2 linked regions of the Macaca fascicularis genome follow. The protein of the gene in region 1 purifies or fractionates together with the protein of each later gene. This does not show direct contact. Links are inferred from orthologs where the notes say so. Each region holds a gene or a part of one and is shown in the gene's direction. Other genes may lie near its edges.

What was found. Proteins that work in one complex are often made in the same cells at the same time.
Region 2: the proteins of DOT1L (region 1) and NPM1 purify together in Homo sapiens (affinity purification with mass spectrometry; 3 studies listed by BioGRID and IntAct, with this or other methods). This does not show direct contact. The link is inferred for Macaca fascicularis from reciprocal best matches to the Homo sapiens genes DOT1L and NPM1.

Annotation. Positions count from the first base shown.
Region 1 is NC_088393.1:2,876,541-2,880,107, forward strand, and holds part of DOT1L (histone-lysine N-methyltransferase, H3 lysine-79 specific), read left to right. Parts: intron 1-817; coding exon 818-932; intron 933-2,678; coding exon 2,679-3,262; intron 3,263-3,567. UniProt on the Homo sapiens protein: Histone methyltransferase. Methylates 'Lys-79' of histone H3. Nucleosomes are preferred as substrate compared to free histones. Binds to DNA.
Region 2 is NC_088380.1:178,197,155-178,200,721, forward strand, and holds part of NPM1 (nucleophosmin), read left to right. Parts: intron 1-561; coding exon 562-648; intron 649-2,478; exon of another isoform or gene 2,479-2,494; coding exon 2,495-2,596; intron 2,597-3,567. UniProt on the Homo sapiens protein: Involved in diverse cellular processes such as ribosome biogenesis, centrosome duplication, protein chaperoning, histone assembly, cell proliferation, and regulation of tumor suppressors p53/TP53 and ARF.

The DNA of each region.
Region 1 (3,567 bases):
GGAACTCCTGGCCTCAGTCGATCCACCTGGCTCGGCCTCCCACAGTGCTGGGATTCCAGGCATGAACCCCCGTGCCCGGTCGGTTTTTTCGTATTTTTATACACCTCAGTCTAATTCAGGACATTTTCTTCACCCCAGAAGTGTTGCCCCCGTCAGCAGTCACTCCCTAGCCGTCCCCCAGCCCCCGGGACCCCGAACACACTCGTGTCCGGGCCTGTCCCTCCTCTTGGCACGTGAGGGCATTCTCTGGGTGGGCGGAGTGTGCCGTCTTCATCATGCTCAGTTGATGGGCCCCGGCTTGACTCCCCGTTTTGGCGATTGTGAATCATTCTGCTGTGAGCGCTGGGTCCAGGTTTCCGTGTGGATGTAGGTTTGCTCTTTGGGTTCTGTGGTCACTACTGACCTTTGTTGGACTTGGAGTGTGGTGTGGGGAAGTGCGGGGGTGGTGGCCGGCGGGTGTGGTCTTGTGAGCGCCCCCACGCGACTGCTGACATTTGTCCGTGCTACTCAGAGAACAGCCACTTTCCCTGTTGAGGGTGGGCTGTGGGTGGTTTGAGTGGTGCCCAGTACCCCCTCCCCACCGCCGGACCCCAGGACTCCCGCCTCCTGACCTCCCTGCCTTAGGCCCGCTGCCTCATCCACACACACGCACTGCCCACCCTCGCTGCGCCACCTGCCCGGGGCCCCACTGCAGTTCCCCCACTGCCCTCTTCCCATCCTGGACTGGATGGTGACCCAGCCAGCTGCAGCCCTCCACACTCACTATTTCCAATTGGGTTCTGGGTCTCGCCCCTGACATGAGGTTTTCTCTCTGCAGAGGAGCACCCCCAGTCCTGTGCTGCAGCCCCGCGACCCCTCGTCCACACTTGAAAAGCAGATTGGTGCTAATGCCCACGGCGCTGGGAGCAGAAGCCTTGCCCTGGCCCCCGCAGGTAACGCCCCTCCTGTGCCTGCCTTCAGGACTTCGCTGCGGCTGCTCTTCAGGCAGGAGGCCGGGGTGCTGGGAATGCAACACGGCTTCCTGGGGTGATCATGGGGGCTGCTGCCCCGAACCACCAGGCCTCGTTACTGACACCCTTTCCTGCATCCCACCGGCTGGGTTGCGGATCGGGCTCAGCTGCAGCCATCGCGGCCTAGTGCCTGCGTCTCCCAACACTGACACCTTGTGCTTGGGTGTACTAATTCAGCCCGTGAGGTCGGCCCCAGCGCTGTCCGGGGCTCCTCTACTCACAGCCTGACTCAGGATCAGTTCCACACACAGCAGTGCCCAATGGCACATGACCGTGGGCCTCCATGCTAGTAGCGGCGTGGTTTCTGGTTTCTTCAGAAGCCTGACCAGACTGCTGTTAGCCCAGTTTCTGCAAAGAGCCAGAGAGGACGCTGCTTTGGCTTTTGTCGACACTGCAGGCCGGTCTGTTGTGGAAGCCGCAGAGACGGCATGTCGGCAAGCATGGCTGTGTGCCAGTAACACTCGACTTACAACAGCGCAGGGCGCCAGACCCCAGGCTGGTTTGCTGGCCCGTGTTGACACGTGGTGTGATGTGGCCGCTACTACTTTAGGAGTAAAAAGTAAAATGGCCGGGCGCGGTGGCTGACTCCTGTAACCCCAGCACCCTGGGAGGCCGAGGAGGGTGGATCACCTGAGGACAGGAGTTCGAGACCAACCTGGCCAACATAGTGAAACCCCGTCTCTCCTAAGAGTACAAAAATTAGCCGGGTGTGGTGGCGGGCTTCTGTAATCCCAGCCACTCGGGAGGCTGAGGCACGAGAATCACTTGATCCTGGGAGGTAGAGGTTGCAGTGAGCTGAGATCGCGCCACGGCACTCCAGCCTGAGCAAAAAGAATACAACTCCATCTCACAAACAAAACAACACGAGTAAAGTGCCGCCTTTGAGATAGGAGGCTCTAGGGAGGCTGGGCAGGCTTCACAGTTGGCCACGTGAGGGCCCCGGAGAGGCCGCCGAAGCCTGGGCAGCTCTGCCCTCACAGGGTTGGGTTGTGCCCTTGGGATGAGGTCTGCTTTGCAAGAGGCAGTGACAGTTTCGGGAGGTTTTCAACTGGGTGGCAAACAGCCAACTCCAGAAGCGCCTCACCGCGCCCCTGCACTGAGGCCTCATTGGCAGAAGCAGAGAAGCTGCCCTTTGTCCTTGGGTGGTCATGGAAGTGCACCACTCATCGTGGGCTGGGAAGTGCGGCCGCAGCCTCCAGGGTGGCCATAGCTTGGAGCGTTCAAGCTGAGTTGTCCTCTGAGAACAGGTGGGAGGGAGGCCCCTCAGCCTTGGGCTTTCCTCATGGTGTCTCTGAGATCACGGGGCCAGAGAGCAACTTATTCAGAGGAAGCCCAGCTCAGCGGGGAGCCCGCACCAGGAGGCTTCTTGGGAGGCAGCATCTCAGCCGGGACCTGCAGGACACAGGCAGCCCAGATGGCGGCATGAGGCACAGGGTCAATCCTGAGCCCTGAGCTTGCCCACAGAGCCTTCTGGTTCCACCCCAGAGGGGCTGTTTTCAGACTCCAGCCCTGCTGCCCACTTCCCCGCCTCTCCTGGAGCCCACAGAGCTCCTGGAGGGTGGTGCTCCCACAGCCTGGCTTTTTCTTTGGCGCAGTGGGGCCCAGCATCCGCCCCTGTGGACTGAGCCCGTCCTGTGTTCCCTGACACCCCCATGTCCTTCCTGACAGGCTTCTCCTATGCTGGCTCGGTGGCCATCAGCGGGGCCTTGGCGGGCAGCCCGGCCTCCCTCACACCTGGAGCCGAGCCGGCCACCTTGGATGAGTCCTCCAGCTCTGGGAGCCTTTTTGCCACCGTGGGGTCCCGCAGCTCCACACCACAGCACCCCCTGCTGCTGGCACAGCCCCGGAACTCGCTCCCGGCCTCTCCCGCCCACCAGCTCTCCTCCAGCCCCCGGCTTGGTGGGGCTGCCCAGGGCCCGCTCCCCGAGGCCAGCAAGGGGGACTTGCCCTCAGACTCCGGTTTCTCAGATCCTGAGAGTGAGGCCAAGAGGAGGATCGTGTTCACCATCGCCGCGGGCGCGGGCAGTGCCAGACAGTCGCCCTCCAGCAAGCACAGCCCCCTGACCGCCAGCTCCCGTGGGGACTGCGTGCCGAGCCACGGGCAGGACAGCCGCAAGCGTGGGCGGCGGAAGCGAGCATCGACGGGGACGCCCAGCTTGAGCGCAGGCGTGTCCCCCAAGCGCCGAGCCCTGCCGTCCGTCGCTGGCCTTTTCACACAACCTTCGGGGTCTCCCCTCAACCTCAACTCCATGGTAAGGATGGGGACCGGCGGGGCTGGGGAGCACGGCCTGTGAAAGAAAGACCAGAGGGAATGGGGGGCTATGACTGAGTCTGGCCGTTGTCCACCATCTGCGGCCTGGCAGCCTGGAAGGAAGCGGCCGACAGCTGCCTGCAAGCTTCTTCATCCTTGGCTGTGGGGCCTTGGTGGGGGTGGCCACATGAGGGGGTGTGGGGGGCTCTGGGATTGTGGGGTCGTGTGTGAGGACCAGGAGGAACCAGGATGGGGGCTGCAGTGGCCACTGGGCAGGGCGTCAGTTTCCTCAGGAAACCCTGGGGT
Region 2 (3,567 bases), on another chromosome or scaffold:
TTTGTAGTTGAGGGAAGCTGGTGTGGGAGATCATCTCATACTGAAAATTAGTTCTGAGGAGGACTACAGAAAACTTATAGTGGGGAATGGTCTGTTTTCTTTATCCATGTAGCCCTCCACCCAATTTGTTAGTCTTGTGTAACCTTTTATTCAAGTGGTTGCTGCTTTTTCTTTTCTTTTTTTCTTTTTTTTTTGAGACGGAGTCTGTCACCCAGACTGGAGTACAGTGGCGCAATCTCGGCTCACTGCAACCTCTGCCTCCCAGGTTGAAGCGATTCTCCTGCCTCAGCCTCCTGAGTAGCTGGAATTACAGACTCAGGCCACCACACCCAGCTAATTTTTGCATTTTTAGTAGAGATGGAGTTTCACCATGTTGGCCAGGCAGGTCTTGAACTCCTGACCTCATGATCTACTTGCCTCGGCCTCCCAAAGTCCTGGGATTACAGGCGTGAGCCACTGCGCCCAGCCTGTGGTTGCTGCTTTTCTTACATGGCTTGGACAGTACTGTTTGCACTGTTGCTGGGGTCAGGGACAGTGATTAAGATAAATTTCTAATTGCAGTCTATACGAGATACTCCAGCCAAAAATGCACAAAAGTCAAATCAGAATGGAAAAGACTCAAAACCATCATCAACACCAAGATCAAAAGTAAGTGGTTACATTTACATATGGGTCTCATTGATATAGTCGGGGAAAAAAGATTCTACTGTTGTGGAAGAATCTAGTGTGTCTGAAATTTCATAGGCCTTTATAGAACCCCTGTAATTGCTGTTTTAAAGTTTAAATCAGCTTGCTGCTGCCGGGCGCAGTGGCTTACTCCTGTAATCCCAGCACTTTGGGAGGGAGGCTAAGGTTGGTGGGATCACCTGAGGTCAGGAGTTTGAGACTAGCCTGGCCAACATCGTGAAACCCCATCCTTACTAAAAACACAAAAATTAGCCAGGCATGGTGGTATGTTCCTGTAATTCCACCTACTCAGGAGGCGGAGGTTGCAGTGATTGTACCACTGCACTCCAGCTTGGGCGAAAGAGTCAGACTCTGCCTCCAAAAAAAAAAAAAAAAATCAGCTTGTTATGTGTTACAGGTACACACAGACAAACATACTAAGTAATGTGCTGCTGGGGTTCCAGTGGCGGGGGGAACCAATAGACTTTTTTGAGAGAGACGGACCCTCGCTTTGTCAGTGAGTCTGGGTTAGAGCTGCATGATCTCGGCTTGCTGCAACTTTCACTTCCCGGGTTCAAGCGATTCTCCTCCCTCAGCTTCTCAAGTAGCTAGGACTACACGTGTGTGCCACCAGGCCCAGCTTATTTTTGTATTTTTGAGTAGAGGTGGGGTTTCACTATATACGTTGGCCAGGCTGGTCTTGAACTCCTGACTGCAGGTGATCTGCCCTCCTGGGCCTCCCAGAGTGCTGAGATTATAGGCGTGAGCCACCACGCCTGGCTTGAATTTTTTATGATTGTGAAGTCAATAGTTGTTTCCTGTAAGGAATCTTTGTTGAAAAGTATACCTGCATAGAGTAGAGATTCTCAACCTTGGCTGCATATTAGATTGAAGTAGAACATTTAGGGCCAGACAGGGTGTGATGGTCTCCTTTCTGGCCTTACCCCCTTCCCTGCAGAAAATGGAATTTAAAGGAGAAAAACTTTAAAAGAACCCAACACTGTGCTCTGCTTATGGAGATTATCATGAAATTGGTCTGGGGTGGGCCCCAGGCATCAGACTGCAATGACTTTCTTGCTTTATTCTCAGGGATCTTCTGATTTCATTTTTTTTTTTTTTTTTTTTTTTTGAGACGGAGTCTCGCTCTGTCGCCCAGGCTGGAGTGCAGTGGCGCGATCTCGGCTCACTGCAAGCTCTACCTCCCGGGTTCACGCCATTCTCCCGCCTCAGCCTCCGAGTAGCTGGGACTACAGGCGCCCGCCACCACGCCCGGCTAATTTTTTGTATTTTTAGTAGAGACGGGGTTTCACCATGTTAGCCAGGATGGTCTCGATCTCCTGACCTCGTGATCCACCCGCCTCGGCCTCCCAAAGTGCTGGGATTACAGGCTTGAGCCACCGCGCCCGGCCTGATTTCATTTTTTGAACTGAGTATTGTGCATTAAAAAGCGAACTCCCAAGTTACTCCTTTTTTTTTTTTTTTTTTTTTTTAAAAAAAAGACGGGTGTCCTACTCTTGCCCAGTTGGGAGTACAGTGGTATGATCATAGCTCTCTCTACAGCCTCCAGCTGCTGGGCTCAAGCAATCTTCCCGCTTTAGCCTCCTGAGTAGCTGGGATTACAGGCATGCACAACCATGCCTAGCTAATCTTACAAGAAAGATTTTTAAGAACAAAATTGTATGGTGTGAATTTATTGATAATTCCAGTTGTATAATTAGCTTTATAAGGGAGTTTTGTAAGACTATTTGAGGAAATCCAGATAGAATGGGTTTTAAATTAGGAGTTGTATTTATTCTTATGACCTTTTGGAAGTTCATTTCCTTTTCAGGGACAAGAATCCTTCAAAAAACAGGAAAAAACTCCTAAAACACCAAAAGGACCTAGTTCTGTAGAAGACATTAAAGCAAAAATGCAAGCAAGTATAGAAAAAGTGAGTAAAGTTATTTTAAAAAAAACTTTCTCCCTGCTCAAATTGCATGTGTCTAGTTTGCGTAGACTTGAATGTTTGTTTTTTTTGTTTTGATTTAATGTACTTGCCCTGTTCGTGGTATGAATTTTTTTAAAAATGAATTATAAAACATTTATAATCGTGTCTGTGGTGATTTGCATATGCAAAATTAAATATGCCTTATTTTCCATTATAAAAGGAATGTAGTGCACTGGTTGCAAGATAACATTCTGACCTTCCATGTTAAAATAGATCAGTGAGAACCCTTGACCTATTCTGGTTGTAAGATATGCTAGAGAACCAACAGAGGGCGTATGAGACTTCATTAAAATTGCAAACAGCTGGAAAAGTAGACTGGTTGGTTGGTATTATAGTTAAATATTCATGATTGACCCTAGTCAGAAGTAATTTTCAGCAGATTGAGACATTTCTGTTTGCCCTTTACACCAAGTTGTCACCAGTTAAATACGTGTAGTAATAGATTTTGTGAATGACTAATAGGTTTAAATCTAGTTTCCTTTTGTCTTAAATAATGGAAATGTGGGAAGACGATTAGGTCTCTTGTCTGAATGACTTGAGTAGGATATGAAATAAATGGTTTAAATGCCTTGGAAGCACATTTGAGAGAAGCTTTAATTCAATGAACAATACTTTTAGACTGCAATTATTGAGAACAAATGTGGGGTGGTAAGGAAAAATTGCCAACTCATTTCCCCATGTTTTTCCTGTGCTCTATAGATTTTTTGTTGGCTTGTGTAGATTTCCTTGTACAGTGATAAGTCCACTGGAAAAAAAATTTTAGAACTGGAACATATTTCTTGTTTTAGTCACACTGGAAACCCTTTAGCCTTCCTGCTTATCAGATTTTTGTCCCTTGGATACAATGCTAAAATGACATATTTTAGATTCCCCTCCCCTCCATTTTAATATGGTCCTATCTCCTTGGTTTAATT